Xenopus tropicalis: one gene and its partners. The protein of the gene in region 3 interacts with the protein of the main gene of each other region in a pairwise test. Links are inferred from orthologs where the notes say so. Each region holds a gene or a part of one and is shown on either strand. Other genes may lie near its edges. The genes, in order: pnrc2, rita1 and dcp1a.

Region 1 (3,754 bases), on a different chromosome or scaffold from region 3:
GCAGAAGAAAACAATCCAAAGCCAAGTCCTGAAGCTGTTCACCTGCTTACTTCAAGTGCAAAGTGTTGTATAACATTAATTTGGGTGCAAGTTGTAAATTCAGTGCATCAAGCACCAGCTATGCTGTGGAGAAAGTGCTTCGTATGCGGGAGTCCTCTTCACGGAAGCTTCACCCACCATTCAGTTTAACTCCTGAGGGATTTTAGGAAAAAAAAACGATCCATTCCATGCTGGCATAGTCAAGTAAGATCTCATGTTTAACACACTGTTTGGCATTCTTCAACCTAGAACCCTGTAAGTGTCCCATAGGCATTTATTTATCATTGATGGTTTTGGTAGGTCCAAATTAGGCCTGGACCTTTAGCAAGGTTTTCAGCTGAAAGGACATCAGCTCTTTCTCAGCTGGACTGCAGGAAAGGAGCACCCAGTGGCTTGGTGGCTTGGGAAGTACACTCGGTGATGGTGGTTCACTAAATTTGGCTCCAGCGTAATTCTGGTTGTCTTGATCGGTGAAGAAGTTCTTGGAGGCTGGAAACCCAGCACTCCAGTTTTGATTCGAGGAACGAGTGTTATTGTTGTTAACTCCATTCTGCATGGCCTGCCATGCAAGAGATGTCCCACAGCCACGGACCCTGTCCTTACTGAGAGACGTGTTCATCTTTTGATTGTTGCGCTCTAACAACTTCTGACGGTTAATCTGTTTGCCAAGGTTATTTCTATGCTGACCAGGAATGTTAAATCTCTCGCCTCCACCCATCTCCAACTTTTATGTCACCTAAAACAAAAATGGTATATTACATAGTAAAACCTTAAATGTCATGCCATTAAATGCCAACTGAAACACCATTAAAAAGCTCTTCTCTACAAAACAGAAAATACTAATTTGGCAGCTTCAGGGCACCCAAACACAATCTACAGTACTGATTAATTTTAGAGCAATTAGATTTCAGATTTTAGTTTCCTTTCTCGTGAAAGGGAGGGGATTGCTAGGTACCAACATGGAAAAGTTTGCAACCACTACCTTTTAAATATATCTAAATATGCCAAAACTTAAGTACATTAAATGTCTTGTTTATTTAGATAAGCAATGCCAGCTTATACTTAAAACAAAACATCCCTGTAAATAGGATCCCCTCTTCAAAGAAACCACATAAATACGTAGAGAACGTGCAGACTTTTTACATTGAACATACTACCTATATTTAACAAATGAAAGGTGCATCCCCTTTTGAAGTCAATTATGTCTGCTCAGTCGGTTTTGAACATGTTTATTTAGGCTAGAATGCTACATTACTGATACCTATACAAATAACAGACTTGATTCCATTTTGTTTGCTAGAAAGATTGCTCACCTTCCCACTGATTCCTCACACCCCTTCTCTGCCTTTCCAGGTCTCCGAACTAACAAGGCTCGCTCCCCTCTTTGTGTTGCCTTCTTTAATCTGCTAGTTTTCTTAAGCATGTGATTATCAAGATCCAAAACAAACATCGAATCCCCCTGGGCACAAGGCAACCGGGGATTACAATGGAAGAAGTCCTCTAAACTGTAAAAAAAAAAAAAAAATAATAAAATAAAGTTATTCACAGTAACCCATAAATAACAGGCAGCCAAAAGTATATACTTATTTACCAAGAATCCCATTACACCCACATCAAGAAATCATTATCAATAAATGTATCCTTGATAAAGGTGTTCTATGCTTTACAAATCCATTGTATTTGTGGACAGTTTCTGGGGGGGGGGTAAATTAGCTTGATCAGTAAGGGCCTGGGTGGTAAATGTAAGATTACAGAAATGGCAATGCCCACCATATGCCCTGACCTATTTTAGATGCAAGAACTATTTTTTGTTTTTACACAGCGAGAGAGAACATTATAAAAATGAAGCCCACATTGTTATGATAAACTGAAAGCCCCAGAAGAGCTCACAGCGCCCTGTAAACCCACAATGATAATGATAAAAACAAACATATGGACCGGGATAAGAGGCTTGATGGGCGAAACCAAAGAGGGACAAAGGGGGTGAAGTCACTACCCAGCTGCACCCCCCCCCCAGCTTTAACTCCCAATACCCCCTGACAATAGAGCTGGTGTAGTTCATGAAGTAAAAATAAGATATTACACCTCCACCAAACGACTACCATAATCAGTCCGTAAGTACGACATAGCGTTGCGCAACGGCAGCCATTGCTTACGAGCCCCAGTTTTAAAACATCTAACCATAGACAAAGTATCAGCCCACAGCACCAATAATCGCGATTAGGGGTAGATATATATCGCGGAAAGGGGTTTGCCGTGATAAACTACTTTTAGAAGTTTACAGGTTTTGTAAAACTTGGCAGGAAGGTAACAAAGGAACGGGTCCGAGAAAGAAAGAACATGGCGCCAGGAGGGGAGGAGCTCCCACCAGAGAAGGAAAACACACCAAAATACTCACCGAGACTTCTTTTCGAGAAATGTCTCCTCTCCCCACTGAACGTAGCGGAGAGTGAAGAAACGAAGCAAAATTCAGATAAACCGCAAAACTCTCAGACTTGCGAATCTTTCCTCCTACTTCCACCCTTCGCCTCCAAATCGCAACTCACAACCCGACCTTCCTAGATCCTTCACAAAATGGAACACTAGCGCCGCCCCCGTAGCGCCACAGCCAATGAGAGGTTGGGCGTCCGCGGGACAGCCAATGTAAAGACGAGAATTTCAACGCGAGCCTGTTGCAGTGCGGAGTCAGACTTCTGCTCGGATCCTTTCCCCTCCCCCGTGTTTCCATCTCTAGTCTTGTTATTGTGAGGGGGATGGGAAGCAAAACAATGGCGTCACCAACGAACAAAGTTGCAGGTTTGTTGCGACATCCGGTGTAAAGAAAATAACTACCAGTTTTAGTCTCTCTAGTGATTTCAATTTACAAATTCCAGTGTTAATAAAATGAAGTGAGAATGCTGTTATACAGAGCAGTTGCTTTCGAATGTCTCGTCGAAAATAACGCTGAGATGTATATGAATATTTCATGGAGGGGGGTCACTGCAATAGGTCTGTGTCTTGGTTAAGTCCGGGCGAGAGCCTGGAATATAGTGTGCTTCCTTAGGGCAGGAACTGTATGTAGCTGAGTGCGGGGGAAGTTCTTTGATGCTCTGCGTATCAGTCTCGGCTTGGCAGTGTAGTGGCAGTAATAGACCCCCAGAAAGAGCTGAAGGCTTTGAGACCACGTAAGATACCACGAAAGTCGACCTTTCCCAGGATATGTTACAGCCCAGTTCTGTTCTAGCTTTGTATGTACTACTTTCATGGCTATCCTGTGAGCGACAATGACGTAGTTATGATTAATTGCCCTAAAATATGTACATAATAAAATAAATCAGGTAAATTCTCTTCCAGTTCTGGTTGAGGAGCCGGCTTCTGCTACATTGTTCCTGAAGTCATAAGGTTACTAGAAGAGTACTGTCTCTTGTCTAATAAGTCTGTGCTTAGCTGTTTTCCCCCAGGCCCAGATTGGCAATGTGTAGATTCTGGCAGAAGCCAGAGGGGTGGATGTAGGATGTCTCTCTGTAGTGCCAATAACAGGCCTGTTTGCCCCCAAACTTAAAGCATCATGATAGAACAGTATGCTCCTTATGATCGTCTCTGGCACAGTCAATAAATTTATAATCCCCTTATATAGTAAATTGTACACCCTTGATAATTTTCATTTTATGCTATGTCTAGTTTCTTTTCACTGATATAAATGTTAAGGTAAACTATTTTAGATACAGACTAGGAT
Region 2 (3,754 bases), on a different chromosome or scaffold from region 3:
TCGAAAAATGCGCAACTTTCGTAATGGCTACGAAAAACTCGCGTTTTTACGCGCAAATCGTATTGGTAACGAAAAATTCGTAAAGAATCCGAAAAAATCGCAAAATACTGATCATTACGAAAAAAACGCAATCGGACTCATTTCGACCCGTTCGTGGGTAAGTAAATCAGCCCCTAAGCCTGCCTGATTTACCTTACGACTTTCTGTTGCCGATCCTTCGCTTGCCTGACTCTGATTTTCAATACTGCAGTAATTATTCTCTAATTTATTAGGAAATGGGGTTAACACCTAATCATGCATGGGAAAAAAAAAATACCGTCAAATACCGTGACACCGATATAATTTTGAAAAATACCGTGGTATAAATTTTTGGTCATACCGCCCAGCTCTACTTTAACGTTTCAGTTTTCCAATTAATATATACTGGAAGTTCCTCAGCACCCTGTGCTTAGGGGGTTAGGAAAGAAATGAGCTTGAAATATATATCATGATAATAAAAGTGATACTGGTGTTGACTTTTGTCAAGTAATACTGCTCGGTAAAACATAATATCAGTGACTTATATAGCACCAGAAAACTACAAAGCACTTTCCCCTCACAGAATCTATTAACCCTACAGTGCCCTGAAAGATTTCTGCGGCACTCAATTGCAAAATTACTCTGAGTACAGATGGTAACTTAGTTGCTTGAATCCTGAGAAACTAATTTCGAACATGCGAGCTACAATTGCCAGTTCGCACTTACTACTCCATCCTCCTTTTGGGGTGCAGCTTTGACACGAAATCCCACTGTGTCGCTTTCGTCGCTCTCTTGGTTTTGACAGCATTTCCGAGATCGCTGTCCCTTACGTTTTTTCTGAGCCATTTCCGCAATTCTAAGACTATATCTATATCGTCTTTAAAATAGCTCAGTTTAACCCCAGACCATCAGCGATCCTCTGAATGTACGAGCACGTCTATCCCCCACGTGTCTCACAGACACCCGGAAGGGATTGAGTACAACTTCCTGGAATGTACCACTTGGTGTCAGTGAACAGGGGACGGTGTGTTGCTATCGCACTTCTGTTGCCAGCTCTCTGCTGCCACATTTCTGCACTGCAAAACGGATGAGGAGCTGAAATACAGAAATGCGATACACTGTGTAACCTCTGTCCCTGCTCTCGGGTTTGGGTGAGTCCGAGTTGTAATGTGTATCATTACCATGGGAGCTGGGCAGAGCGTGTTACACACAGTTGTCTCTAGCTGCCTGTATAGCTGCCTGTATAGCTGCCTGTATAGCTGCATGTATACACTCATCTCGTCGGCTGAAAGAGGCTGCCTGCAGCAAGTCTATCGACTGCATGTGCCTAACATGATGCCAATGGTATAAACGTTTTGCCATCAGGTAATACTTCAAGTCATAAAGTTACATTTTTAAAAGTTATGGTTATATTCATTGATACATACTCATTTTCTACTCAGTTCTCAAAATTCCCCGCCCAGTTCACTAGTGTAGCCTTTTATTTTCTGGAGATTAGCCAAGTGTTTTGTATTCAGAAACTGCAACTTGTGTGACAGAACTCTAGCCAAATGTTGTTTGGCATTGGTTGAAAATCCTATAAGGCAAGGACTGCATTAAAACATTTGATTGGACAAGGTTGCTTAAAGAATATTTGCATGTATTGATTTGTATTGCTGTTTTTTGAGTTATAGTTTCCTGTACTGACATTTAGTCAGGCTTATGGGGTAGTGTGCTACAGCTTTGGTCAAATGGTTAAGCTAAATTGCACAATTAGACCTAACATCCAACTGGAATGGCAGCGGAGGCAAGTACTTCATAGGGCTTACGTAAGTCCGCAAGTGCAGCTGCGGTCCCTGCACTTTCCCTCCCAGTCAGTTGCATGGAAAACCACTTTCATTAAAGGAGAATGCAAGTCAAAATTTAAAAAGCATACTGCCCAAAGTCCTCCTATTGTTTAGTAAAAACGCCACACTTTTGGCTCACCTAATCAAATATTTACTCAGTCACACTTACTTCACATTTTCTAGAACAGGCAGCCATCTCTAAAAAGGTATTCTCCCTTCCTTTCCCTCCTTGCTTCATACTGCACATGTGTTTCATTCCCTCCCCCCTCCCCTCTGCCAGATCCGCTTCTGATTGGCTGGTGGGTATGTGTAGCTCAGAACAGGAGACAGGATTAGGTTGTACACATGCTCAGAGAATAGGAAGGAGAGAGATTTCAGAGATGTCACTGTAGGCTTCACACTGCTGTAGGCTGCCAGCACCATATCTCAGAGAAGCAAGCAGGGATCTGGGAATTTAGATATGCAGTAAGTACTTAAAAAAAAATGCCTTTAGACTTACTTTTAATTTATATTAACCTTTCATTGTCCTTTAAAGGTACTTGTGTCAAAATGCACTCCTTGCACTTTAGTAACGCTTGGCAACACTTGGCCCTTCCTGCCTTCCGTTTAGAACTGAGCGCTGCTGTACCTATTGACACAGGGGTAGCCTACCAAGCGGTAGCTTTAGATCTCCCTCAGTGCCTAGTGCTGGATTTCTGATTAGGGTGCCCATAGGCTGCCCCCATTCTCCAGCCTCCCCCCCCCCCACAGGATTGCGTGCATGCCCGTCCTTTTAGCTTACATACGGAGCACTGGGGACGGTAATAGCTGCAGTTTTCTGCATGTCCCGTCCTTAGTGCTCCACATGTGAGCAACATCTACATGTGGCTGGCCGGAATGCCGCCCCTAAATTTATGCCACCCTAGGTCTGGGTCTTTGTGGCCTTGCCCAAATCTGGCCCTGTCAGTGCCCTACATCAATCACCACAGTTTAGTTTCAGTAGGAGTATAGGGCAAACGCATCACAACACCAGGTAGACTTTGAAAAATTCTGTGCAGTGCTCCCAATTTGCTGCAAAGCACATGGCAAGTTCTGTCAGTTTTGCCAAATCAGATACAATTAAAAGGGTTGTTCACCTTTGTACAACATTCACAAATGTAACAGATCACATTAATAGAACAATCTTTTCCATATAGAAAGATAACAAAAAATTTGCAACTGAAGATATTTTCTAAAGAGAGCATTGTTGGTGGTTTAATAAGATTTGGACATTGGAGGTGAACAATCCTTTTAAGGTAGCCACAGTGCAATTGCGTCAAGAGCATCACTCCTTTGCTATCACAACGATGCCTAAATTCTGGGATAAAAATGCATGTTCTGCTGTCTATGTCTTTTATCTGCTTATACATGATACAGGATATATATGATATATAGACAAGTGAACATAAATAGATGATCATTATTAGTATATGAAAACAATGCATTTTTTGTATAGTATGTTTAAATAAATGTTGTATTTATTAAGTTATTCTATATTTTTAGGAGACATCTAAACAAGTATCAGTTTAGGCCTGCTTCTGAAATGTCTCTGGATCTCTCTATAACTGGGCATCGCACTGCACTTCCACAGCGCAAAAGCAGAAGCGCTTACCGGTTCAAAGCTGCCAACTCCTATGTTGACGAGACTCTGTTTGGTACCTCTGGGGTAAGAGTGGATCAAACTGTAAAGTGGAACACTGCACCACCTTGTCAGACACCCCTTCTGTGGAGCCCAGGAGAAATACAAAACAACAAAAACACCTTAAGCTGTAGGCCTAAAAGCACTCCACCAGGGACTCCCAGGAAAAAGATTCAGTACAGGTACTTTTGGACCGTTGCTAATTATTGATCCTGAAAAGGAGTGATGTTTCTAATATTCTCCTCTAATCTTT
Region 3 (3,654 bases):
TAACTCAGCCTGCAGCCTTGTGCCTTTATATGGGGGGCACAGAACCCCTCAGTGACTGCTAATATCCTTATCATTTACAGTAGGGGGTACATTATCCCTTATAATACATGAGTGATACTCAGAGTTCCCTGTATAACTCAGCCTGCAGCCTTGTGCCTTTATATGGGGGGCACAGAACCCCTCAGTGACTGCTAATATCCTTATCATTTACAGTAGGGGGTACAGTATCCCTTATAATACATGAGTGATACTCAGTTCCCTGTATAACTGCAGCTTTGGCAGAGAGCTTACCTTTATGAGATGGATTAGTGTTTCTTGGAGCTGGGATCTACTCAGGACAAACTTTGAAGGATCAGACAGCGCTGAGTCAATGGGCGACATTCTGGCCTTTTCTTCTTGGACCGACTGATGGAAGACACTGGGCGACATGAGGACTGAGGGACCAACTGTGCTCATTTGAGCTACATATGGAGTTGCCTTTGGATAAGAAGAAGGATATGAGCCACAGGTGTAGTTACCCTTGCATCTAAGTATAAAACCTATAGGGCTCAGACTGGCCCACCAACAGGAATCTATGTGGAAAAGCTTCTGGGTGTGTTGATCAGCAGTGCTTCATGGGAAATGTTACAGGGCGTGCATGAAAGTATTAATGAAACGCACTATGGCCTGAAACCCCTTTTAATCAGCTCTGAAAGTAGTAGGCATGGAAACGGTGCCAGGCTGCCTCCATGTTGGCAGCAATTTGCCCTGACAGACACCAAACTTGAGATAAAATGGAAGCCAATGGGCACGGCACTTACCGATACCACCTTGGGTAAGCACTTGGGCTGGGGAAGAACCTCACATTCTTTCTTGTCAAGTACATTCTGTGGGGGGGAGAGAGAGAGCGAAAGAAGGAATCAACTGTATATCTGCCCCAGTCACATGATCAGCAAAATCCCATGTATTAACTGAACTGTCCTATAGCGGCCCCTAGACATAATGTCTAACTGAAAGTCATTTAAAAGAGAGCAAATGGGAATATATAGTGAATAAAGTGCCCCCTATTGTAACATATAGGGATATTATAAGTCCCCGAGGGGTTCCTTATAATATATAGTGAATAAAGTGCCCCCTATTGTAACATATAGGGATATTATAAGCCCCCGAGGGGTTCCTTATAATATATAGTGAATAAAGTGCCCCCTATTGTAACATATAGGGATATTATAAGCCCCCGAGGAGTTCCTTATAATATATAGTGAATAAAGTGCCCCCTATTGTAACATATAGGGATATTATAAGCCCCCGAGGAGTTCCTTATAATATATAGTGAATAAAGTGCCCCCTATTGTAACATATAGGGATATTATAAGCCCCCGAGGAGTTCCTTATAATATATAGTGAATAAAGTGCCCCCTATTGTAACATATAGGGATATTATAAGCCCCCGAGGGGTTCCTTATAATATATAGTGAATAAAGTGCCCCCTATTGTAACATATAGGGATATTATAAGTCCCCGAGGGGTTCCTTATAATATATAGTGAATAAAGTACCCCCTATTGTAACATATAGGGATATTATAAGCCCCCGAGGAGTTCCTTATAATATATAGTGAATAAAGTACCCCCTATTGTAACATATAGGGATATTATAAGTCCCCGAGGAGTTCCTTATAATATATAGTGAATAAAGTGCCCCCTATTGTAACATATAGGGATATTATAAGCCCCCGAGGAGTTCCTTATAATATATAGTGAATAAAGTGCCCCCTATTGTAACATATAGGGATATTATAAGCCCCCGAGGAGTTCCTTATAATATATAGTGAATAAAGTACCCCCTATTGTAACATATAGGGATATTATAAGTCCCCGAGGAGTTCCTTATAATATATAGTGAATAAAGTACCCCCTATTGTACAATATAAGGATATTATAAGTCACAGGAGTTACATGACCATATAAAGGAACAAAGCCTTCGGCCTCGTGCTTTTATACAGGTCATGTAACTCCGAGGTGACTTTTAATATTCTCATATTTTACAACAGGGGGTACTATATTATAATATTCAAGTTTTATACACTAGACACCATTTATAAGGATATAATTTACAGTTTGGTCCCATAGGGAAATGACCAAACTGCGTATGTATATTTTTTTTTTGACTGGGGTGCATATAAAGGGGCAGCACTCCCCCTTGATCAATATGAGTGCAGTGAACTGGGCTCGTGCTTCTCTCTACTCATGGTTTTTATCACATAAAATCTATGGTTTTTGTTATTTCTTACTGACCCCTGTGAAGGAAGGGGGCTGTTTATATAGAGCTCACTATCGCTAGTGAAGTTACATTTCAGTAATATGAAAGTAAAACAAATTACATTGTTAATCAATAGTTTAGGCAGAATGTATTTTCTCACAAAGGATCAATATTGGTGCAGCCCCTTAATTTGGTGCTAATGACCCCAAACATTTCATTGGCACCCAGGAAAGACAATTAAAGGACAAGTTGCAGAAAGACAGCTGTAATTCCTGGAGTTACCTGAAGAGGCGCCATAACTAGGCCGGTGCTTGGAACAGGCTTCATTATGCCTCCTTTAAAGCTCTCGGGTGTAGCCAGCTGGCCCAGGGCAGAAGAGAATTTTGGGGCAATGGAGGCTTTGCTTAAGGGCTGCGTTTGGACCTGGTCTGTGTGCGGAATCAGCTTCAGCTTGTGGAGAAGATCAGCCCCGGAATGGGAAGAGTTAACAACACTGCTGGAGCTGACTGGTGCCAGTGGGGGCAGGAGGTGCCATTCTGGTACAGGTTGGCTCAGGAGGGGTGAGACCTGCCCAGGGGCAGATTGAATGGCACTTATCAGCCCTTCTGGGGCAGTTGCTATACCCAGACTGGGGCTTAAACTGATTAGGTTTGCCACTGCCTGTGATGGCGGCCGTTGGCCCGGGCCTTGGGCAAATACTGTGGGCGCCACACACGCAGGGTGGCTAAAGTCACTGGCAACGGCATTGAAAGAAGCACAAGCTGCCTTCACCACCACTGGCGATGGCTGCTCGCAGGAGGCGGGGGCATACAATTGGGGGCGCCTGTCGCTTGGCTCCAAACTGGGGTAACAATTGGCCGCCGGCTGCTCTTTCGTTACCGAGGTTCCAAATAGTTCTTCAACTGTGAGATGTTTGTGTACGGCCTGAAAGCACAGGAGATCAGAGGCATTAGTGCTGAGCGCCACTAGGGGGCAGTGTTACACCTCAGCAATACAGAGATGCACAGAACATTGTGAGAGGTGTAACCTGGGAGTGGCAGATATTGGGGTTATCGGCACAGTTCTGCCCCAAGCTAAATGCCCTTTGTGCCCATATACGAGGCACGGCCTGAAAGCACAGGAGATCAGAGGCATTAGTGCTGAGCGCCACTAGGGGGCAGTGTTACACCTCAGCAATACAGAGATGCACAGAACATTGTGAGAGGTGTAACCTGGGAGTGGCAGATATTGGGGTTATCGGCACAGTTCTGCCCCAAGCTAAATGCCCTTTGTGCCCATATACGAGGCACGGCCTGAAAGCACAGGAGATCAGAGGCATTAGTGCTGAGCGCCACTAGGGGGCAGTGTTACACCTCAGCAATACAGAGATGCACAGAACATTGTGAGAGGTGTAACCTGGGAGTGGCAGATATTG

What was found.
Region 1: the proteins of dcp1a (region 3) and pnrc2 interact in binary tests that used the Homo sapiens proteins (3 or more experiments, as listed by UniProt). The link is inferred for Xenopus tropicalis from reciprocal best matches to the Homo sapiens genes DCP1A and PNRC2.
Region 2: the proteins of dcp1a (region 3) and rita1 interact in binary tests that used the Homo sapiens proteins (3 or more experiments, as listed by UniProt). The two-hybrid records come from large-scale screens. The link is inferred for Xenopus tropicalis from reciprocal best matches to the Homo sapiens genes DCP1A and RITA1.

Annotation. Positions count from the first base shown.
Region 1 is NC_030678.2:80,603,756-80,607,509, reverse strand, and holds the start of pnrc2 (proline-rich nuclear receptor coactivator 2), read right to left. Parts: upstream 2,586-3,754; 5' UTR 2,438-2,585; intron 1,545-2,437; 5' UTR 1,353-1,544; intron 776-1,352; 5' UTR 758-775; coding exon 347-757; 3' UTR 1-346. UniProt on the Homo sapiens protein: Involved in nonsense-mediated mRNA decay (NMD) by acting as a bridge between the mRNA decapping complex and the NMD machinery. May act by targeting the NMD machinery to the P-body and recruiting the decapping machinery to aberrant mRNAs.
Region 2 is NC_030677.2:145,154,934-145,158,687, forward strand, and holds the start of rita1 (RBPJ-interacting and tubulin-associated protein 1), read left to right. Parts: upstream 1-1,112; 5' UTR 1,113-1,383; intron 1,384-2,013; coding exon of another isoform or gene 2,014-2,040; exon of another isoform or gene 2,041-2,045; intron 2,046-3,365; 5' UTR 3,366-3,405; coding exon 3,406-3,683; intron 3,684-3,754. Other genes in the region: ATP-dependent RNA helicase DDX54, read right to left, coding at 745-864. UniProt on the Homo sapiens protein: Tubulin-binding protein that acts as a negative regulator of Notch signaling pathway.
Region 3 is NC_030680.2:150,743,566-150,747,219, reverse strand, and holds part of dcp1a (mRNA-decapping enzyme 1A), read right to left. Parts: intron 3,165-3,654; coding exon 2,523-3,164; intron 867-2,522; coding exon 801-866; intron 478-800; coding exon 292-477; intron 1-291. UniProt on the Homo sapiens protein: Necessary for the degradation of mRNAs, both in normal mRNA turnover and in nonsense-mediated mRNA decay. Removes the 7-methyl guanine cap structure from mRNA molecules, yielding a 5'-phosphorylated mRNA fragment and 7m-GDP.